Astyanax mexicanus: one gene and its partners. The protein of the gene in region 1 interacts with the protein of each later gene in a biochemical or structural test. Links are inferred from orthologs where the notes say so. Each region holds a gene or a part of one and is shown in the gene's direction. Other genes may lie near its edges.

Region 1 (8,270 bases):
CATGGGAGGGCTATGGAAAGGGGTGGCGATGGTCAGGCAGGCGAACAGAACTGTAAGACAGAACACACTTCTGGAAGAGCTCCAGAAGGTCACACCTGGGAATAGGACACAGTGGGTGAAGACAGTTAAGCAGATATTTTAAATTTGTGTTTTGTGTCATTAATTTATAATTAAAAGTGTTGTCAATATTTTATTTATACATTCATATTTCAATCATTAATATACATGGACAATAAATAAAAATGCAACTGAGACAATATATTTCTTTGAATACAGGGCTGCAAATCATAACAAAAACAAAGATAAAAAAACAAATCTTTAATAGAAGTCAAGAGTTAATTTATCCTAGAGTTTGAAGACAATGTAGAGAAAAAAAAATCCATGTTCAAATCAAGTAAAAATGTTAAGAAAAACAAAATGTAAAAAATTTACTTTTTTACATTTATGAAAAAAAAAATCATTAATTCATTTATTATTAAGATAATTAATTAAGATAAGCTGTAGTGATTTATTAAATTGTGTACACAAAACATCTGAAGGTGGTGCAAATTTATAAAACAAATTATGAAATTCATATTTACAATTTGTGTATTTACTCCGTTCAGACTCTACATCATAAATGCAGTAGTATAATTATTAAAAATTGTTTTATTGGCTTTCCAATACACAGCAATGCATTCAAACTTTCTAAAATGTCTCTGTAGTCATATTGCATTGACTAAAAAACAATAACCAAGCATCCTAACATGTTAGTTTGTAGAATGTAAGAGCAGGAATGTCTACACAAAATTATTTATACCTGTAGAAATTTTTTAAGCAAGTGTGAAAAAAGTTTGCGCACCCAGATATTATATCATTATGTGTAAAAAGACAAATATAAGACATAGACACAAACATTCTATAATCAAACACAACACTGCAGTGGCTTGTTGTACTAATCAGTAACACATTCAACTCACTGTTTAAAATATGCCAAATATTTTAATTACACTCGCAAAAAAATTCTGCATCAACAAAATCTTTTACACACCTGCACAAAACTATTTCACGCATACACAGCTGCAAATGCACATGCACATAAAAGGTAATATACAACTGCAGATGCTCGATTATTTATCACCCTCATTTGACTCCATATAAACACTGCTCCAATGTAAACTAATGAGTTTACTTTTTATGCATATTTAAAGGTGGAAAAACAGGATCTCAAGGGCCTTAACCTCCATCTACTGGCGAAGCACTGAAGTGGTTGAAATGCCATTCGGACGGGTTAGGAAGTCTGGTTTAGCCTTGTCAGACTACATTCTGCCTTTCATATCAAGTGCTCAGTCAAAGCAGTAACGCCTCTAATTCAGCTGGTATTGTCTGTTCACTCTGTGCACAGGCAGAAGGCTATAGATTAGGCCCTGGTTCATCTGCTCCTGTGTCCTGGAACAATGGCATATTTGGGAGAGGATGATGTGGGCCATGAGATAGCATTTTTTCCCTCCCTTTGCTGATAAGTAAAGATCCTGTTTGAAAGTAATACATGAAGGTCAGAAGAAGATGTTCTGAGGGTCGGTTTATGGAAAAGGAGTGATGAATTGTAATGAATTGTATAGATTGTGGTTGGAGTGTAAGACCAGACTGACCTGAACAAATAAATCTAAGTGCAATAGTGACAAAGTCATTACGCAATGCTGATGATTTATTCATGAAATTAAAATGTGCATCAGATTATGATGCTAAATATAAAATAACTAAATGTAATTACATCAATGTACATCAGAGAGACTTATGTGATGTGCAATCTGGATATAATATCCAATAAATTAGTTCAATATAATCGTATAGATTATGTAGCTCACTGTTCTTTAGTTTCTGTATCAAACAACTTGAATTTCAGTTTTATAAACCCTGAAATAGAAACTGGTGTGACTCCACAAGGAGTTATGATACCATCAGAAAATTAAAATCACATATTTCATAGCTTTTGCATGAAGATTAACAAGTAATAAGTAATGTACAAGTAACAAGTAATTAACAAGTAATAAGCCAATGGTTTTATGGGTTAATGTGTTGATTTGTTGTAAATACATTTTGAGAAAATACACACATAAACAAATACCTTTCCAGACTCAAATGTACCTACAACCCTCTATCTGAATGTCTCAGAGAGCTCTTTGGATCTGGTAATGGTGATACTACTCACATCAACACACTAGTCAAGAACCAACAAATTAAATTCAATATGTTTATGGGGTTTAAATATGACAGGCTCCCCTCTAGTCTTGTTCTAACCATTATAGTCATTCTAGCTATTTAAAAAAAATGTGGGGTGTAATACCTTTTACAACATAAATAATTTGTATTTATATTAATTATGTTTCACGTTTTTGTCCTCTTTTGTTTGTTCAGTATTGTTAAATCAGTTCTTTATGAGAAACTGCTATTATAATGTTTGCATTAGGTCTTCTCAGTCAACATTTTCTATTCAGAAAGTTTTTCTCTGCATCAGTTGACCGTGTTCTCAGCAATAAACCCAAAAAGCAAAAGCATTGCATGAACTAACTGTGGCCTAGAACGTCTGATTACTCAACTGTTCGACACTTTTTCATCTAAGGTGACAAAATACAAGTTAACACGCTGATTTGAATCTGTTGTTCTACCTATTATTTCCTTTTTTTAGCAGCAGCAGCAGCAGCAGAAGTGGTGATTCCTGTTCTACATACCTGTTCTAGGCAGTTGCAGAGAGTTCATGTCTCTCACCAGCTGTGTTCCTCTCCTCCTGCGAGCCTTTCCAACACTCAGCAGCCACAGCACTGATAACCAACTATTTTAATCCTCCTGCGCAGGACCAGCTCATCCAAGATCCAGTGCCCCCTCCCTCCAAAAGATTTCTCTTTCATTCACTCACTCACACACACACACACACGCACACACACTCACACACACACACACACACACACACACACACACAGCACTACCTCAGTCTCTCACTTTTGAACCACAAATAAAAAAAAATAGAAAATTATAAGAGTTTAGAAGACTCTATGCTCATTTTTTGTTCTGAGGTCATGCAGATCTCAGGCCACCTTTAAAAAAACATGTTTAACTTTGTTACATCAGCTGAGTACTTCATGACGTTTCCTCATTTGACCCGGACTGTAACATGATTTGATTTTGATCTGGTGACACATTCCAAAAGTTCCTCAATATAGAATTATACACATCTGTGCCGAGTTAACATCTTTACGGGAAAAGGAATAACAACATTTAACTTTCAGAGGAAATCAATCTAAAAAGATTTTACTTTAACAGATTCTCATCATGTCTGTTACATGTCTGAAACAATTTAAACTGCTGTACACAATCATGTAATTTAAAATGTTAGTTATAACTATAAAATAAATTGGAAGAATGCTAATTGAGTTGCTGATTAGGTAATAAACAGCCACAGCAACATAGAACATTTAGAATTGATTGTGGAAGTGGATGTTATTCAGTTGTTAATTGCATCATTAGTAGCCATAGCAACATAGAAGAGTTAGAAATGAGAACTAATTTAGCAATATAGAAATTCCTGCAAATGGACAGACTTTGAGATGTATTGAGTGATTAGAGTATGGGGTAGGGAATGGGCTGGGCCATATGTGTAATCCTAATTGTTTTGTCCTCTTTGTGTATTATTTCACTTTAAAAAATGAGGAGGAAAAAGTTGCGGGCAAATCTCCCTGGGATTAATAAAGTATAGCAATATGAACAGCTAAATTAAAACTAGTTTACAGTGTGGTTTTCAGTAAAAAAATATTTTATTTTATAAAAATAAAAAAACTTTATATGGACTAAAGTAATGAGATATCTGCTTTTTCTTTTTTTTTTATGCCAAAATTCCAGCTCAAGAACAGCTGGTCATCCAGAAAAAAAGACATATTCTGTGTTAGTCAGGAGTTACTTTTTTCTTTTAACATTTGTTTATTAAGCAGGAGTATAAATGTATTCAACACAAATATGTAATATCTCACAAACAATAAACACACCCTCCCTGCCGATTATGTCACATTTCCATTTTTTTTGCTACTTTCCAAGTATTGTAGAAGGGGATGTCAAGAGCTATTTTTAAGCTAGTCTGCCAGCATAGGGTATGTTTTTATCTGAATGCCCAGCTGGTCTTGAGCTGAATGTTTTAGCAGGATTGTTGAAGAAACTGTTTCTACTGGGGGAGGGGGGGGGGGGGGGGGTTGGGGTGTGGTGTGGTGTGGGGGGCTTAGAGATGCTTGGGCATTGGTGGGGTGTGCTGGTTGGTGATGGGTGATGGGCAGCCTCCGCTCTTGATAGCGTTTCTTTTGGCCGCGGGGCTGCTCGCCTATGTGGCCTACGCTGAGAGTCTGAGGTTAGCCGAAGTTTAAGGGTTAACTTTACCTGGCAATCTATCTTTGTGAGGGTAAGGCAGGTAGGCGATTTCTGCTGCAGTGCTGTTAGCTAATCAGAAGCTATATGTTTGCATGTGTGAATATTCATGAGCAAGAGCCGAAATCCTGTCTTTGTTTAGAGACCAACTTAGTTCAGTTAAACAGAAACACTAGAGCGCTCCGTTTTTTTTTAGTTTTTTTTAGTTTTTTTTAAACGGCTCACATGGCTTTCACTCATAATAGACATTTTAAAATGAACTAAAAACGATGGAATAAGACATTTAATAAATAAAATTATCATTTAAAATTGCCTTTTTATATTTACTCAGTTTATCTATGTCTGATTTGTTTGATAATCAGAAACATATCAGAATGACAAAAAGGCAAAAACAAAAGGGGGGGGGGTCAGAATTCTTTTTTCATGCTACTGTATTTTTTTTACTTTTATTGGATGGGTCTTGTGCTCTCTCCATTATATATAAAGTGACTAAAGCCTTAAACAATAGTACAGACTGTAATTGACTGTTTGACGCTGAGACGTCGTTAAATGCGTGCTGGTCTCTGCAGGACTGAAACGTGTGCGTGTTTTCAGGCGGAATGAAGGAGTCAAATGGCGCTGGACTGAGCGGGTGGGTAAAACTACATGTTCCAGGGTGAGCCGGGTGTGCGGCGGCGGCGGAGTGCTGGAGAGTGACGCAGCGCTGGGGGGCGTGTTCACTGCGTCTCTGAGAGGAAGAGGCACCGAGAGACGAAGCTAAAAAACCCGCATTCAAGACAAGATGGCAGGATTGCCCCGCAGGATCATCAAGGTAACTGTGAGGCGGATTTTCTGCGAGTAGCTCGTTCCTGCTTCTTGAATCGGGAAGCCGGGCGAGTCCGACACGGCCGCGGGGCGCAGCGCAACGCGGTGCGGCTGAGAGCGAGCAGGCGGGCGGCTGGGCTGGCTGGCGTTGTTTGCGCCTGCTGCTAGTGTTTGTTAGCCAGACACTTCCGTTCACCTCTCCGCTTCACCCGAATATGGGTGGGTTAAAAATACACGCACGGCGGGCTGGGAGCAGCGAAAATGGCGGAGGCTCGTCTCGTGTGCATAAACGTTTAAAATATCAGCTAAACGCGACGGTAGCGAGCAGATTACCGGGGTTTGAGAGAGCGAATAAGCAAGGTAGCTTGCTAACTTAAAACTGACGGTCAGGCTAGCTAGCTAGCTAACTGGCTAAGTTAGCATTAGCTATCTAAGATAGGTTAGCTAACTGACTGCTGCCATTCATCGATTGAAGCCTAGCTAACGCTAGCTGTGTGGCTAACAGGGCAGTAATATACTTAGTTAGCTAATCATAATCTTAGTTTGATAACTTAGAGTTAATAATCTTAGCACAAGGGTGCTTTAATGTGCAATAAGGTCGCATATGAACACACAGTAAATGAGCCACGGCCTCTTAAATGAAAGTAATCGCTAGTAGTTAAACCCCGCTTCGTGTACCGCCCGCTCTGTAGACCTAGCTTAGCTTATCTTAGCATAGTCAGCTAGCTAGCCAGTTTTAGTAGCTATGCAGCTTTTTCCGCGCTAGGCCTTAGCTAGCTTAGCTAACCTAACGCTAGCTCGAAACTAAAAGTAGCCGAATGTCATTGTAGGTGCCTTGTAATGTAGCTAGCTAGCCAAGCTAACTAGCTAGCTAGTTATGTCTGAGCGAATATAAAAGCACAGCGCCTTCGTTATTTCAGTAGCTAACAGCAAGTTGAGAATCACCACAGCATTAGATTAATTAGCTAAGCTATAGGTAGCTAACTAAGTGAAATATTACATTAATATTCAGATCGAGCTCGTGGCTATTGACCGCTCTACGAGCCTCTGCAGACAAGCCTCTAATGGCTGGTTTATAAAAACCCGTCAGATGGGGTGCCTCGTTTCAGATTTGTCTCTTGGAGAGAAAGATCACCACCAGCTCAACACCGCTCCACATTTATTCTTAATGTTTTTAATGCTATAATATAATCAATAAGTCTGTATTGGTATAAAGGCGTGTCCTGATGCTAGTGTTGGCCTGGTCCTTACACCCATGAGCTGCTAGCTCAGTGTCAGCAGGCCTGATGTTCCTGTGCCGCACCTTCATTTCCACAAGCCTCCAAAACAGGTTTTCTCATAATCTGATCTATCTGATTTTTTTTAACATAACTTCAAAAATAACACAATGATATCACGCTTCAGAACAGATGCAACACATTTTATGCATGAAGGTTAACTGGATGATTAGACTGATAAGCTAGTTAAATAGCTAGTATCACTTTGTTAGCCTTATTACAGAGGCAGTTCAAATATTGCAATAGACCCTGATAACTACAGAAATGGCGCAGTTACACACAGTTACAAAATAAAAACCGTGATATTATAACATTTTTGCATAGGTAAAAGCTAAAAAAGAGTTGCAGATTGTCTAAAGGGCAAGTATGATTGTGTGATTTCGCTGTCAACAGTATAAGCAGATGCATCGTACAATCTGCAGTGTGACGTGTATGAACAATATGAAAATGAAATTAATTAAAATGTAATGGATTAAAGTACCAACAACAGTCAAGTGAATTGACTTAGTCTTAAATAGTGTCCTGACACATGAGTTTTATGTTTTAAGTCATGGCAAACAGGTCACAAAAAAAATCCTAAAGTGTCTGTTAATTAAAAATATCTACTTTGCTATCTGCATGTTCCTCTTATTTTATTGTATGCTCTTTGTTCAGTCCCCATGCTCTTGTAGCAGTAATTGGATATTGTGTATGCACTGAGCATCACCAGTATTGTGGTCTGTTGGTGTGGGTGTGGGAGGGCTGGGAACATGAAGACCTTAAGCGTGAGACTGGGATTGGGAGCCCCTCTCTTGTCTGTGTTTTCTCTGCATGGTTTTGTCCATGGACTATCTGAAATATTTCAGGAATTTTCCTCTCTTGAGGGTATTTTGAATAAAGGAACAGGAACCTGCCAACCACCAAATTCATTTATTCATCAGTGTTGTGGGGATGAGCAGTGCGGCTGTATGATAGTGATATCTGTCTCTTTTTTTGCGTTATCTTTAGTAATTAATGCAGATGAGGTTATGTTGAATTTGTGTGATGACACCGATTTATCAAGGGCATTTACACTGTACCCTTAAAATATTTTGCATCACATTTTGACCTGTAATCATGCAGGTTAAAACTCTACTAGTGTGCATAGATTGATGAACGTAATGCAGAAATTATTGTCGTCTGACTATGATGCATGCAAATGAGCTACAGGAGCTGGATGCCATTTTTTTCAAGTTTAATAGGCCAGACTAAAAGTTGTGATTTTATTATTTTGTTTATTTAATACTTATGTAGCATAAAATAAGCTTTCCCATTTTTTTAAATATTTTTGATTGTCGTCTTACATAAAACATGACCTATGCAAGTGTGTTTTCAGTGTTTGTAGACCTTGATGCTCAGGCTGCAAATAATTTCCAATACCTGCAGATATATGGTAACAGAAAAAATGTTCGAAAATTCTATCTTAATACAACAGGGAAATAAGCATGACAACTATTTAATGTAAAGTAGTCTTATGCGCTACCAAATATGTATTGGCCAGTAAATGACTACATGTTTTCTTCATAAGTTTCATACGGCATGTTTTTTTTTATAAAATCTGGTTGCTCTAGCTGACTTTTGCAAATCAGAATCATGCAGTTTACATGTAAATATACTCCTTGTCATTAGATAAGTGGAGCTGTTGTTTAATCTCTGGAAATGTAATGATCAGGATTTGCACGTAGTGTAGTTGATGTCTCAAAATAACTCCAGCATTATATAAATGAACTAATTCGGCTGAGGGTCATTTTATAGCTGATGATCTATTGGAATGCAGAGGTG
Region 2 (8,265 bases), on another chromosome or scaffold:
GTTTTTATTTCTGATATAATGCAGGTATGTGCTATAGTCACGCCCCTTTCTCTGAGTGCTTAAATCTGATATGATGCAGCTGTCGGGCTTAGCCACGCCTCTCACCTTGCATACTTTATTCTGATTCTGATATATCTTTATGCCTTAGCCACACCCCTTTCTCTGTGTTTTTAATTTTGATATAATGTAGGTATGTAGTATAGTCACGCCCCTTTCTCTGAGTATTGTATTGTGATGTAGTAAGGCTGTCTGTCTTAGACACTCCTGTCACCTTAAATGCTTTATTCTAATATAATGCAACTGTTAGCTTTAGCCACGCCTCTCACTTGGGGTACTTTGTTCTGACACAATGCAATTTTATACCTTAGCCACGCCCCCTTTTCTGAGTGCTTTATTCTGAGATGATGGACAATATGAGAAAATCCCAGCCTCTTTCCCCACCCACTTTATAGTGATATGGTGCTGATTTCCCTAAATCACGCCCACCATCACGCCTACCGTATTTTAATATGCTAAAACTATTTGCTTTGGCCACGCCTCCTACCCTGCACACTTTCTTCTGACATAATGCAACTGTATGTCTTAGACACGCCCTTTTCTCTGGTGCACTTATATATATATTAGGATATAAGATTGATATATTAATAGGATAGGACACTAAAAGAGTCACTTTTTTGATATAGTACTTTACTCAAGTCTAGAAAGCCTCTAGTGCTTTCTACATGTCTGAATACTTGTAGATATATAGACAGTGATAAGGTTCTGATGGTTCTGTTCGGTTCTGTGTGTTCTCTCAGCTCTCAGAGCCGGAGGAAGAGACATGGACGACTCTCCGAGTAAACACCTGCTCGGCCCGAAGAAGAAGGTGAAGATCCACCCCAACACGGTGACGGTGAAATATGCCACCCACTTCCCGCAGCCTGGAGAAGAGGGATACGATGACGCCCCGAGCTTCGAAGATTTCGGCTCCTTTGTAGAAGAGACCTCCGACCGGAAGAGGCTGACCTCTACTGGACCTCAGAGGTGTGTACACGCCACGCCCACAAACTGGGGTGGAGTTTAATTACTGTGTGGTAAACTGAAACACTGTTTCTTTGGTTCACGACAGCACAGTTTTACACCATAGCTTTTATTATTGCCAATATAGTCAGTAACTACTGCTTTTATCAGATAACTACACAGGTACAACAGTTTTTAACCGTTATAGGTTATAGGGGTGGAGCTAATTTTACATATATGATATAATTTATTGTTAACTTAATAGTTATCATAAGTTTGGATACATTAATGTATTGTTAAATTGCAAATTGGACTGCTTTTATTGTAGTTTGTATTATTGTATCACTATTGTTATTACTATTAGTAGAATTACTATTAACGTTGTTGTTACTGCTGTTACTAATAATATTATTACTATTATTGCTGTCATTATTACTGTTATTATGGTTATTGTTATTATTGTTGTTAATATAGTTATTATTGTTACTTTTATCCACAGTAAACTGGGCCGGACGTTTTTTGGCTCTGTGGACGGTCAGCCCAAACCCGGTGGGGATCAGAAGGTCAGCAGTGGGGTCGGAGGTCAGCTGCAGAGTTTCGGGGAGGCGTGTGTGTTCTCCTCGAGGCTAACGTGGGGGGCACTGTTCGTGGCGGCGTTGGCGCACGGCTGCGTGGCACTGCTGACCCGCCTGGCCGCTGACCGCTCTAGGGTTCCCTCGCTGGAGCTGCTCTTCATCCGCTCGGTCCTGCAGGTGCTGTCCGTCGCCGTGGTCTTCTACCACCAGGAGGAGCCGTTCGGGCCCAGTGGCTACCGGGTGCGGCTCTTCTTCTACGGCGTGTGTAACGTCATTTCCATTTCCTGCGCCTACACCTCCTTTGCCATCGTACCGCCGAGCAACGGCACCATCATGTGGCGTGCCACCACCACGGTGTTCAGTGCCGTGCTAGCGTTCCTGCTCACGGATGAGCGTCTGGGTGCAGTGGACATGGTCACCGTGGTCAGCAGCGTGTTCGGACTCTGCCTGGTCATGGTGCCCAACATCGTGAGCGAGGACCGGTCGCTCGGGTTCTGGAAGGAGGCGTTCGGGTACACCATGACGGTCATGGCAGGCCTGACCGCCGCTCTGTCTATGATCGTCTACAGGTCAATTAAGGAGAAGGTGAGCATGTGGACGGCTCTGTTCACTTTCGGCTGGACGGGGACGCTGTGGGGCGCCTGCACCATGTTCGTCCTGCAGGAGCCCATCATCCCTCTGGATGGGGAGACCTGGGCGTACCTCATCAGCATCTGTCTCTGCTCCACCGTGGCGTTCCTCGGGGTGTACTACGCCCTGAACCGCCTGCACCCTGCTCTGGTCAGCACCGTCCAGCACCTGGAGATTGTGGTGGCCGCTCTGCTGCAGCTGCTTGTCCTGCACATGGTGCCGTCCGTCTACGACATGGTCGGAGGCCTCGTCATCATCATAAGCGTTGTTGCGCTGGCGGCAGTGAAGCTGTTCTGGGTGGGGAAGAGTCGGAGGCAGGAGTACGAGGAGATCCTCGATTCGCCAATTAAATAATTGAGTTCAATTATTTATTTTCACTTTGTCTAAATGCCAAGTTGTAAACTAAAGACCAAAGCCCAATTAGAGCTGGATTAGATTCATACCGGGTTATTAGTGTCGGATTGTACAAACTACACACTACAGATTCATACTGGATTAATTTAATTTTCTATAGTTAAACTACACTACAGATTTATACTAAATAAATCAGTTTTCTGTTGGTTAACTGCACACTACAGATTCATACTGAATTATTTTTTTTGTCATAGGTAAACTACACACTGAAGCTTCATACTGGATAAAATCAGTTTTCCGTAGTTAAACTACACTACAGATTCATACTGGATTGAATCAGTTTTACATAGTTAAACTACACTACAGATTCATACTGGATTAAATAAGTTTTCCATAGTTAAACTACACTACAGATTTATACTGGATTAAATCTGTTTTTAACAGGTAAACTACACTCAACATATTCATACTAGATTTAAATCAGTTTACAGTTATTACTTAAACTACACACTGCTGAATCATACTAGATTAATAACAGATTACAGTTATTGTCAGAATTCGTACTGAATTAAAATTAGTTTACAAGTATTGCTGAAACTACACACTTCTGATTCATACTGGATTAAAATTGGTTTAGAATTTTACTGAAACTTCACACTGCAGATTCATATGGAATTAAAATGAGTTTTCATTTATAACTGAAAGAATAAGCACTGCAGATTCATAAAGGATCGAAATTGGTTTACAGTTAGTAGTAAAAATTCACACCAAAGATTCATACTGGATTAAAGTCAGTTTATGATTATTACTATTATTTGCATTATAACTACACACTGCAGGATTAAATGGATTAAAATCGAAAGAATAAATACTGGATTAAAATTACATTACAGTTAGTAGTATAATTGCACACAGCAGATTCATACTGGATGAAATGTCTGATTAAGGGTAATCCGATCCAGCTCTAGTAGGGTTTATGGAGGGTGTGGGGGGGTGTGGGGTGGGGTGGGGGGGTAGTCGGTGTAGTTTAGTGGTAGTTTGTGTACCATTGTGTTTATCTAGTGTTTTGTGTAATTCAATTTTAAATGAATCCTAATTACTTTATTTGATGATTGTTTATTGATTATTGATTTCAGTTGTATTAATTGTTCTGAATAGTTTTTTTGAAACTCTGTAAAAAAAGTGTTCAGATCTCAATCACCTGACCCACTGTTCCGCTGACCCGTCAGTGACCCTTGTTTACTTGTTCATGATCATTAACCACTAAGTGTCATTGAGAAATCTTAATTGTACAGAATAAACAGGTGATCTATCAGAAACTCCGCCTCCTGGTCCAGAACCCATTCAGAACTCCAGCACAGGTGGTGGCAGTGTGTGTGCAGTGGGGTGAGGGCGCCCCCTGCTGGTGGTTGTTGCTAAAGTGTATGTGTGTTTGTTATTTTAAGAATAAAACAATAATAAAATAATATTCTATATATTTGTGTTTGATTAAATTAAAGAAAATTAAATTAAATTAAAAGTTAAAGTTAAAATTAAAGTTACATCAGTTCCTGTGTGCTACATTTTCAACTGTCTCTATAAAACATTCTGAATTTTAGACAGACATTCAGAAATGTGGAGATTTCCTATTTAAAACAAAATTACAGAGTACAAAATTAGAAGAAAAAAACAGTGACCACTAAAATTAACCCTAGAGGATGCCCACTGAGTGCTGCATTGTTACTCGTTACAATTATAAAAATGTTAGGAATCATTCCAAACCCACATTTTCACTGAAGCCAGAGTAGAAGATGATCTACACTGGCACACTGGCACACGGTTTGTTAAATGTTAAATACTTTAGTACTCCCACTTAAGTGTGCAGCTTAATTCATTTTACTTTTATTTAAATCAGGGTCTCTAGTGTTTTATATATATCTGCTGACTGGTTGGTGAGTTTAAAAGTTTTATAACTGGAGTTTAAAAGCTTTTAAAATTATGTCTACAATGATAAAACCTACTTGTTCTGTGTTAAGGAAATGAGTAAAGTTTTAAGTGTAAAAAGGATTAAACATTCATAAACTTAAAGGGGCACTAAACCTCTGATTTAAAAAAGGACAAAAAATGGGCAAAGTTTGGGAGAGGCACTGGGTGATGTATGGGTTTAGAGGCTGGGCAGGAGGAGGAGCTGATTTGCTGAGCTGCACTTCTGATGGCGGTGAGACGCAGATGGTTGGACGTCAGCAGGGGGGGCGGTAATATTGATTCATTAATTTGCCTATTGTGATGTGTCTGCATACCAAAATACATGGAATCATCATCCACGCCTATAGCACAGTTGAACCTGAGGGGGCGATTCAGAAGCGAAAATGACCGTAATAAAAGCGTTGTTTAAAGGTAAGAAAATGTTTTAATTTTTTTTTAAGCAGGACTGGTATGTTTCATTTTTTTTTCAAATGAACACATTTCAACTATTAATGGAAAACAATATGGTTTAGGGTTTATTGGCTTTTTAATTGCCCCATTTAAACCTATTCGTTTTGTAGTCAGTGAGGGGGGAGCCCTCTGGTGCACTAACACACTCTAAATGCACCGCCGCTCCGACCAGCAGGGGGCGCTGCACGCGCTCACACACTCGCACCACCACACAGCGCGCGCCCCGCTGCAGATCAACTGCAGAGCAACTCCGCGCGCGCTAAAAACCTGACAACAGGAACCAGAAGTAACCAACGGTAATCGGAGTCCGGAGCGACCCGGCCGAGCTGCAGGTAAACCTGCCGGACAGGTGAGTGCGCGGGCACGCGTACACCTGTTCTAGTTACTTAGTAAATACAGCGCCCGTGCGCGTGAGTGTAGCATCCTGACACAAGAGAACGTTAAATAAACGTGAGGGTAATGTTTTGGTCGCATTAGCTAACTTAACATACATCTTTTTATGTTGACAAAGAAAAAACAAACTTAAAAACTAACTTATAACTTATAATTTAACATTAGTGTTATTAAAGTCGCTTATTGTTAAAACTCTAACATTGAATAAAAGTTTATTTAAATGTTTTAAATGGCTGGAGCTCTGAAACTACACTAACAGCAGGTCAATGTTGTTAAGAGAAAGGTGCTCCCCACAATTAACGTTAATCTAGCTAATAAACTATTATTATCATTTAAATGTCTTTTTTTTACACTGCAACTGTAAACTGCCAGCTATAAAATTAGAATAAAACGATATATACTGTACATATACAGAACCAGTATTACAAAAGTTTTGACACACCTCTTCTCAATTAATGTGTTTTCTTTTTGTTTTTTTTTGTTTTTTTTACATTGTACATTTAACAATTAAAGACTATATTAAAGCTATACTGGATAATATTCAGACTTTTTCTGTAAATAAAAAATTGTTAAACAAAACAGAATATGTTTTATACTTTAGATTCTTCTAAATAAGTTGCACATTTATCTTTGAGGACAGATCTGCACACTTTTAGTATTTTAATCTCAGTGTCTTCATGAGAAAGAGTCACTTGGAATAGCTTTCTCAGTTTCTTGAAGGAAGGAGTTCCTGGATGTGCTGAACAATAGTTTCTGCTTTTCCTTCATGCTGTGAAGCTTCAGCTCATCCCAAATCACCTCAAATCACCATCTCAGTTCATCTTAGTTCATCAGGTTTAGATCAGGGGATTAATGTGGAGGACAAATACTTTTTGTTTACTATGTAATTCCCATAAAAGGGCTCAAAAAATGGGAGGAGTAGTTTGGGAGGGGCACTGGGTGATGTATGGGTTTAGGGGCGGACAGGAGGGAGAGCTGATTACACTGTGTGTATAAACAGTGTTTTTAATAAACTATCTGTGCACTACTACAATAATAGTTGGCAACAGCAATGAATAAATAATTTTTCAGTTGTGCGCTAAATTCATATAGGGTGTGTGTGTGTGTTTCTGTGCTGGCCAGGGTTCAAAATAGTTGTTGACAAATAGTTTAATAATGGTATGTGTATGTGACACAGTGATGGCATAAAACACATTATTACCATTTATTGAACTAGAGGCACATCATAATAATTGCATAATATTGCATGGTGCACCATAGCAAGCACTGAATCACTTTTTATTTTCCTCAAAGAAGGGCAGCCACTATGGCACTCTTTAAAACCTTGAGTAGTGTGGGTTTTGTGCATTGTCAGCATCTTTATGTTTTGTTTGTGTGGGTTCTGTGTTGTGTTCTCAGCTCCAGCATGCGTGGTTTGGGGAGTAGGAGGTTTGGGGGTGTGTCTCACTCTGATCTGCAGGAGGAGGAGCCCTCCCAGAGCAGCTCCACCTCTGAGTCCACCCATGATCAGGACGCGGAGGAGGAGAACCGGTGCTTTGGAACCTTTCAGGGAACCATAGTGGGTCTGAGGTACTACACCGGAACGGTATGAGCCATCATACGTACACTGATAAAAAAAAAATATATAATAAACAAATAATAATAATAATAATAATAATAATAGTTAACATATATATTTTTTAATCATTATTACTTTGTATTGTTTCACTTCAAAGCAATACTTTAAAGTTAATTGTATTGTTATTATTTATTTTGGTTTAGCAAAGCCATGTTTATAGATACATAATCAAGTCTATTAGAGATTACTGAACATCTCTTTATTTGGACATGCAGTTAGCTCCAGTGCTAATTGTTGGCGCATTAGCTTCCATAGCCTAAAATATTTACTATATTAGCTTATTTTTAGCTACAGCGCTAACTGTGGTATGAGCTGCTATTGTTTGTAAGCTATATTATATTTATAGCTCCAGTTCTGTAGAGTAGGTGGGTATGCTTGATTCATAACTTCTGTTCTGCAGGTGAATAGAGGTGAGATGGTGGCTCTGGTGAGGCAACCGCAGAACCCGTACGATCGGAACGCGGTGATGGTGGCTAACGTGTATGGCAGTCAGGTGGGACACATAAAAAAGGAGCTGGCAGCGGCGCTGGCCTTCATAATGGACCGTAATCTGGCCCGAGTGGAAGGGTAGGACATTGTTTAGATCATTGCCATTCTGCTACACGGTACTGACCCATTTATAAGCATCTTCAGCAAGAAAGCATCCCCTTGTGGGGATTAAACACATTGCAAAATATGGGGAAAAGTATTGAAAAAAGTGTTCATTCACGGTTTCTTGTGAAATCAAGGGTTTAAAAAGAGTTTATCTTGCTTTTGTTGGAGGAACTGTCTTTACTGTCCAGAGAAGGCTTTCTATTAGATTTTAGTAAAACAGAGTATCTGTGAGTATTTGATTGCATTGACTGACAAGTGCGTCAAGTCAACCTGTTGCCTTTTTTGTTTGCCTAAATAAATAAATAAAAATAAAATAAATAAAAATAATTAACAGACAGAGAAAGTAAGAGAGAAGAGAAAGTGCTTATTCATGCTGCACATGCTTTTGTTGAGAAGTTAAGGTTCAGTTTAATAATGAGGGCATAAAGCTGTGGTTCTCAGCTCTGCTGTTGTTTTCTCAGGGTGGTTCCTTATGGAAAGACAAATTCATTCACCATGACTGTAACCCTAACATTCTGGGGTAGAGAGGAGAACCAGGAGGCGGTACACTCTCAGATGAAAAATCACGGATACAAACTCAACGCTGTGAAAGGTAAGCTCAGCCCACCTCAGCTCCTCTATTAGATAGAAATCTGGAAAACATCTGGGACAGATTTTTAACTTCCGTACCTGGATTTACCACCTGTA
Region 3 (7,327 bases), on another chromosome or scaffold:
ATGCTGTTGCTTCCAGGAGCAATATGGAACTTGGCTGCAAATGTTGATACACATTAGCACTTACCAAGATCTTCCTTCCCAGCCGAGCTACAGTTTTAAGAAAACTGTAGCTCGGCTGGGAAGGAAGATCTTGGTAAGTGCTAATGTGTATCAACATTTGCAGCCAAGTTCCATATTGCTCCTGGAAGCAACAGCATCACAAGGATTGCTTGCTCAGAGCTTCAGTCAGCTCTAAGGTTTCCATGCCATTCACAATTCTTTGGTACAAAGAAATGTTACAGTAATGTTTACATTTTCTTCGAAAACACAAGTTACTGATTTATGAACTTTACTTGTGCATTTTTAATCAAACAAACTCATCAGCCATCATGTTATTTCCACAGAGATTATGTGCATAAATACAGCACTAAGTTGAACCTATAGATTGTATGTTTTGTAATATTTTATTATGCAATATCATTTTATACATTACTTCTTATTCTGAGGTGCTAAATTATTATTTGGAAATGCCAAATTACTTGAAGATGCTAAATCATTTTCAGATACTAAATCATTTTAAGATGATGGTTCATAATTTGAGGTACTACGTGATTATTTTGAGATGCTAGCTCATTATTTGGACTTACTAAGTCTTTATTTTAAGATTCAAGCTCATTGTTTTGAGGTATCAAATCGTTATTTTCAGATGCTCTCTCATTATTTGGACATGCTAAGTCGTTGTTTTGAGATGTTATTATTAGTTTGAGGTACTAAATAATTATCTTTAAATGCTAGCTCATTATTTTGAGGTACTAAATTATTATTTTGAGATGCTAGCATTATTTTTTAGATAGTAATGAGAAAAAATAATACAAGCTGGACTTTTTATGTGGTGGGAGTGGCCTTCCATCGTATGGGTTGCTTCACATTTGCAAAGTTATAATGAAAAAAAAAAGACAAATTATTCAGGTTCACTCTTTATGTGGGTACTGTCTGAAACGATACTTTTGATAGTAAGAGCTCGGGGTAAACCCCCCGGCCAGCGGGCGGCGCTGTGGGCGCTTCAGTGACTGTACGCTGGGTTGTATTTTCCGGTGGTTTGAAACTGAAGCTGGACTGATTTTTCTGCTCAGATTACCAGAGTATGTAGACAACCCGTTTATTTACCCGAAACCGTGTTTAAAAACCGAACCGCGCTGTACTGTAGATAAGCAGCAGTGCTGGAGCGGGAGCTGAGAGGAGAGAGACTGGGAGGGGAGGGGAGAGGCGGGCTGGTGAACTGTTTATCGGTAGCGCTCTTAGCTTGGTATTATTGTACTCGCCAGATTTAGCCAGCTCTAGCTTTCTGAAGTGCGTGTGAAATATGGCGTGTGGTTTGCTAGAAGCGTTTTACTGATAAACTGTTCAGAGCTCGGTTCTGTGTTGTGGCTCAGTAGTATGTTAGCTACAGATCGTTTAGTGCCGTTATTGTCAAAATAGAAGATTGAGTACATCTGATGCACCCAGATCCACTGACTAAGCTGTAAAGCTAGTAAGCTAACCTAACTAGCTAAAAATGAGCTATGCTAACTAAAGAACAAATGATTTCTGATTCGTTTTTTTCTGACCTGTTTGAGTCAGTCACGTTCCTATCTAAAATTATGGTTTATCTAGTGAAAACTGGTAGTTCCAGATATTTATACTAGTAGAAATTTCCATATATATATATATATATTTTTTTTTTGCTGCATTATATTATTTTATGCTATTATTTATTTTGCCACATTATGATTATTCTGTTATACTATTATACTATATTCCTGAAATTAATTAATTATTTTTCTGTTTTCCTATATCGCCAAGTATATCCTTATCACAAAAATACCCTGAAATATCCTGATATTATTTTAGAGCCATATCGCCCACCCCTAATATATAATTTAGCTTAAGTTACACTGTAAGTCTGACTATAGTATAAAATCCAGGTCCACATGTTTATAAATAAGTAGTAAGTATAGATGCCTAGCTACAATTTGAGTTTTGACTAGCAATAATGGTATAATTGATGTTTATGATATGGTGTTGTGACGAGTCAGAATGATTTACTAGTAACAAGCATTTAATATCTATTATTTTGTGTTTTCTAGCGAACGCTAAACAGTTAGCTAGGCCTTGTATTACTGGTGTTACTAAACACCAATTTGCTAACTTGCTATGGAAACCTTGTAATTAATGATCACTGTCTAACCTTATATACATACTCCAGTTACAGATAGCCATGATTATTTGTATTAGTAAATTTCACATACACTGCCTGACCAAAGAAAGTCTCCACCTTCATTTAACTAAACAAATGATCTGGGGTTGCTGCAGTTGGTCAGGTCTAGGTTCAGCAACAGTATGTGCTGAAAGAATGAGGTCAGCTGACTACCTGAATATACTGAATTATACCTGGTTCAGGGAGCATGAGATCATTTTCACCATAGAGTTCAGATCTTAAGCTCATTGAGAATCTTAGGGATGTGCTGGAGAAGGCTTTGTGCAGCGGTTAGACTCTACCGTCATTAATGCAAAAACTTGATGAAAAATTAATGCAACACTGGATTTAAATAAATCTTGTAACATTGCAAAAGTTTTTTTTTTTTTTTTTTTTTTGAAAAGGCAAATCTGACTATAGTAAAATGTCCAGGTCCATATATTCAGAAATTAATTTTGACTAGTACAAATTCTTATTCAAGATTAAAATCTCTACTAAAAAGTTTTGACTAGTGGATATTTACATAAAGAATAGGTACAATTTGTGAACTAAACTACAGTTTGAGTTTGGCTAGCAATAACATATTTAATGTCTAAAACTATAACCGTAATCTGACTAGTCAGAATGATCTGAAGATCTAATAAAGTGATTAGCCTATAGTCCACAGCTGATATCTGATATTAGGTTTTTACTAATAGAAACTGAATTAAAAGTTGTCTTGCTGGTGTCTTTCGAGCCCTGATTTTCAGGGGTTGGGGTCTTGTCAGTAAAAACAAATCATTGACAACAGTTAACAACTGACTTAACAACTACTGCTGTCTTTTTGTTAATCACATACATATTACAGTTTGTTGCCCTAACACACCTATTTTCCCCCCATGGTCTGTTTTTTCCATCTGAAACCATGTAAACAGTAATCACATCATACTTACGTACAAACTTCAAAGTTGGACTTGAAGGCAGCATTAACCATGTCTGTGCTAAAACCAGTGGCTTTAACATTTAGCTTAACCAGTCTGTTTTTCCCCCACAGCTGGTGTTTACACCCTAGGTTTATTGGAAACCGTGGGGAACTTGCTCAGTGTAGCGACTATCAATGTACCTATTCCATCCAACGTGACGCCTTCAGAGACTGACCCAGCCACAAACCACAACATGAGTAGCGTGGTAAGTTCTTTTGATCTTAACTTTTCTACTAATTATAAAGATTAATTCTTACTAACTGTAGAACCGTGTCAACTATATACTATAAGTGTCAGTTTTATTATAGTCCTAGATTAGTGTTGCTCAGTTCTGCTTCTGGAGATCCATCACACTGAAGAGTTCAGATCCAATGCACTTGGGCTGATGCAGTCAAATCAGATTGGTTTCTCAAATCAGATCTTTTGAGATGATTTCACACTGCTATTTGCAAGTGAGCATATTGACCTGTCTTAACATTACAAATTTATCTGCATGGCTTTCTATGGTAAGAAACTCTTCTTGATGGTTATCGTTTGGTGAGTAATGCAAAAGACAGATGGTAAAATATTTTTTTTAACCACTTCCAAATGTCATTTGGATCTGCTTTCTGAAACTCAAAAGTTTTGTGGTTTCTGGACAAATTATCAAAAATCCATCTGGATACTAACTAGATATGCTACAAATCAAATTTCAGCTTCTTAACAAGCCCTTTCAGTATGGCAGGGAGTGTGTTAAGGCAGACAATCTTCTACGTCATGATTAGGATTGAAGAACACTGGTCTACAATATAAACACGTTTCATATGTTACAGGCTCTATACCACTGTAATGTTAAAAAAAAAATAAAAAGATGAATTTTTGTCATTGTTGGCCTTCTATACATCTAGATGTCCAGCTCAACACAGGCCTCATGCCTAGAAGTTATTCTTGTGACCCACAACACACCACAGTTTTATTACTACCTGTCGTAGCACAGCTGACCTAGCTCATTAGCTAATTGAGATTTCTCAATCTGATTCAGCTGTGTTGGGGCGGGAATGTTGGAACTCTGCTGGGCTTTGGGTTGGTACAGGAAAGGGTTGATGGCCTGATGGCTTCTAAGCAGCAGGAGTCTGTGGTGAGCTGGACGTGTAGGAATATGCACAGCTTTGTGTCAACAGAAACACAGTTAAGAAATGCTGATTCAAACATCGAGGTCTTGAGGTCTGTCTGTGTATGTCTCTCTTTCCAATTTTGGTGCCAGATTTGCCAAAAAACATATGATCATTAAGCTAAACCAAAAACTAAGTTAAAAAAAAATGGAAAATTGGATTTTGTGTTTTATATATAAAACAATGTGAGGTTTTTTCTTACTCAGTTAAATCCTTGCAGAGGAGAGCCAAATGAAGGAAAAGCAAAATTTAAACTAAGCATAAAAAATGTGAAGAATAAGCTACACTTGTTAAATTGGACTAATTCTGGTAGCTTAACTAAATATAAAAAAACATGACTGTTTTGAGGCTTCTGAACTCTTAAAATCCAAGACAAATATAAAGCTACAGTAAAGTTCAATATATGTTTTCTTAAGAAAACCACATGTTCCTGGAATGTTCATAGGAAGATTTATTTTATTTTATTTTATTTGTTTACCTTTTTATTAGGTATGAAGTTTATGGGGAAAAAACATGTAAGGTCCTTTTGTGAATCCAGCTCCTGGTCATAAACCAGCCTCTCCCTGCACACTATGTTCACCCAACACCTGTTGAAGCTGTTAGCTAATTAGCCACTTGCATAGTCTGTTAATTTGTAGGGGGTGGAAACACTGCTGAACGTACCCTAAATCTTCTCACAGGCTCAAAGAAAAAGACGGTCAACTTCTTCATGTTCAAGACGCAACAACAAAAGGACTAGGACTCAGACGGTCATGGAAACTATCGATGTGTTAGAAAGTGACAGACTGAGCAGTAAGTTAATCAGTGTTGTTAAATCACTACATAACTTCCTTGGCACCCTTTTTCAGAAGAAGAGTCAAATTCAGCATTAGTTGTATTGTGAGAGTTCACTTTTCTTTTTAACCAGTCTTGTTTTCTTTTCTTCTCTGTTCTCCTCTTTTACTCTTATAAAAAGGTGAAGAGGTAGTAGACTTAACCTGTGAAGCATCTGAGCCAGCTGTTGTGGACCTCACTAATAATGATTCTGTTGTGGTGAGTTCTTAGCTCAACATTATTCTTAGTCCAATATTATTGCTTTTAATAAAATGAATGAAGGCCCCTTCCCTCAAAGACTTTGTTGTGTGTTGGATATTTTGTCATGATTTTTATTTTGCTTTTTCTCTTTTATTTCTTCTTTTATTGCCTTGTGGAAATCAGCTTGTGGAAGAAGGTAATTAATTCCCTTTTCATGTTTTTAATGGTTCACAATGTTAGTTAGTTGTAGTATTGGAATACTGATGTAACTTTTAGATCAGTGAATGTACATTTCAGCTTGTTTAAAGTCTCTGGTTTATGAAAGACGTGGAATGTGGCATATTTTTATTTAGAGTAAGTATACATGTGTAATTTATTTGATTCTCTAAGGCACGCATAGCAGACGTGGACAAGGCACAGAGAGTTACGTCTTAAGCAGCGATGAGGACGAAGAGCCAAGTCTAAACCTCAATCCAGCTGTACTGTCATCACTTCGAGCAAGCAGCACAGCCAGGTAAACCTTACACAGCGTTCAGCGTACTGCTGATGCCTTAATCATGATCATCTTACCATATAGGAGCACTTTGTAGTTTGTAACTAGAGACTGTAGATCCTCTGTTTCTATGCATACTCTTTGATTTGTTAGTCTAATTTCAACCTGTTGCTCAATGATAAGGACCCCATGGGATGGTGATGGTGGTGGTGTTTGTCTGTGGAATGTAGGAATAAGTGGATGTAGTTGGTCCACCTTGTAGATGTGAAGTCAGAGACAGAAGCTCTGAATCTTGCTGCACCCATTGTGTCTCACTCTCTAGTCCTTCAACAAAGCACATAGTATGCTGTTGGCTGGATATTTCTAACTGGTGGAATATTCTCAGTCCAGTGGGGTCATGATCATTAAAGAACCGGCTTAAAGGAGGATAAAGGTACAGAGATTTAGAAGAACTACAGTCTGTAATTATGGAACTGCAGTGAGCTATATGCTCAGTGGAGCTCATATAGAATTACATTACGTCCAACAGACACCTGTTCATCTAGTATTAATTGAAACAGGTCCTGTACTGCTGCTTTTTAAAGTTTGTTGTCCAGTATTTTCGTATTTTTAAAATTTTCTAAAAAGCCTTATAAATTCTATATATCTTAGCAATACTATTATTTTGAAGTGCGAGCTTGCAGTGTGTATATATGTGAAAATTATTTATGCATGCCAAATAAAAAAAGATTATGAAAAGAGTATGGTGCCTTTGTTTCTGATCAAACCTGATCTTACCATCTAGGGCTACGTTTACATTACCAGGCTGAAGTGACTCAAATCAGATTTTTTTTGCTCAATGTAGCTGAGATCTGATTTTTTTTTTATGGCTGTGTGAATGTGCTAAATCTGGTTTGAGTCACTTTTGTATGTGGTCATAAATTGGATATGAAGCCAGTCCATGGACATGCAACCTGAATGTGAACAGTACAATTGAAATTCATTAGTCTTTCTGTTTTTACACATCCGTTGCTTTTATAATGTGAAAGTAGCCATAATCTTTCAACTGCATATATATATATATATATACACACACACACAAAAAAATGCAGTTGAAAGATTATGGCTACTTTCATATTACTTTCACAAAACTATTAGTGAAAGTAAATATTGCTAAATTAATTAAAGTAATTCTGGAGAATGTCTGTTGGTCGTTCATGCTGAAATATTGACTGTCTTCTAGATTCAAATTATGTCCAAATAAGCAGCACAAATTGAGATTGTGTTTGTTTGTTTTTTTACCACATTTATTTTAGCATACTTTGAAACTTGATGCTGTGTAAAAAAGGTGAAACTGTAAACCCCAACTGTGTCACCACTGATGGTGTGGGTTCTTATTCACAGGTCAACACCAGGAGCTGTTAGCTGCCCTGTATGCATGGATGCCTATGCTGAGGTAAAACTGAGATACAAATCTGTATCTAAAGCGTTATATAGTCACTGTGGATTTTGT

Evidence for each region. The genes of interacting proteins can lie anywhere in the genome.
Region 2: the proteins of ube2na (region 1) and hltf form a complex in vitro, tested with the Homo sapiens proteins (2 studies listed by BioGRID, with this or other methods). The link is inferred for Astyanax mexicanus from reciprocal best matches to the Homo sapiens genes UBE2N and HLTF.
Region 3: the proteins of ube2na (region 1) and rnf4 form a complex in vitro, tested with the Homo sapiens proteins (2 studies listed by BioGRID, with this or other methods). The link is inferred for Astyanax mexicanus from reciprocal best matches to the Homo sapiens genes UBE2N and RNF4.

The regions. Positions count from the first base shown.
Region 1 is NC_064416.1:21,041,821-21,050,090, forward strand, and holds the start of ube2na (ubiquitin-conjugating enzyme E2Na), read left to right. Parts: upstream 1-5,043; 5' UTR 5,044-5,170; coding exon 5,171-5,200; intron 5,201-8,270. Other genes in the region: c1qtnf13 (complement C1q tumor necrosis factor-related protein 4), read right to left, coding at 1-95, 2,712-2,739. UniProt on the Homo sapiens protein: The UBE2V1-UBE2N and UBE2V2-UBE2N heterodimers catalyze the synthesis of non-canonical 'Lys-63'-linked polyubiquitin chains. This type of polyubiquitination does not lead to protein degradation by the proteasome.
Region 2 is NC_064425.1:42,845,454-42,853,718, reverse strand, and holds the start of hltf (helicase-like transcription factor), read left to right. Parts: upstream 1-5,190; 5' UTR 5,191-5,322; intron 5,323-6,764; 5' UTR 6,765-6,771; coding exon 6,772-6,951; intron 6,952-7,384; coding exon 7,385-7,551; intron 7,552-8,039; coding exon 8,040-8,170; intron 8,171-8,265. Other genes in the region: slc35g2a (solute carrier family 35 member G2a), read left to right, coding at 821-1,023, 1,499-2,558. UniProt on the Homo sapiens protein: Has both helicase and E3 ubiquitin ligase activities. Possesses intrinsic ATP-dependent nucleosome-remodeling activity; This activity may be required for transcriptional activation or repression of specific target promoters.
Region 3 is NC_064417.1:19,061,183-19,068,509, reverse strand, and holds the start of rnf4 (RING finger protein 4), read left to right. Parts: upstream 1-4,252; 5' UTR 4,253-4,267; coding exon 4,268-4,390; intron 4,391-5,008; coding exon 5,009-5,120; intron 5,121-5,283; coding exon 5,284-5,360; intron 5,361-5,525; coding exon 5,526-5,538; intron 5,539-5,732; coding exon 5,733-5,856; intron 5,857-7,218; coding exon 7,219-7,270; intron 7,271-7,327. UniProt on the Homo sapiens protein: E3 ubiquitin-protein ligase which binds polysumoylated chains covalently attached to proteins and mediates 'Lys-6'-, 'Lys-11'-, 'Lys-48'- and 'Lys-63'-linked polyubiquitination of those substrates and their subsequent targeting to the proteasome for degradation.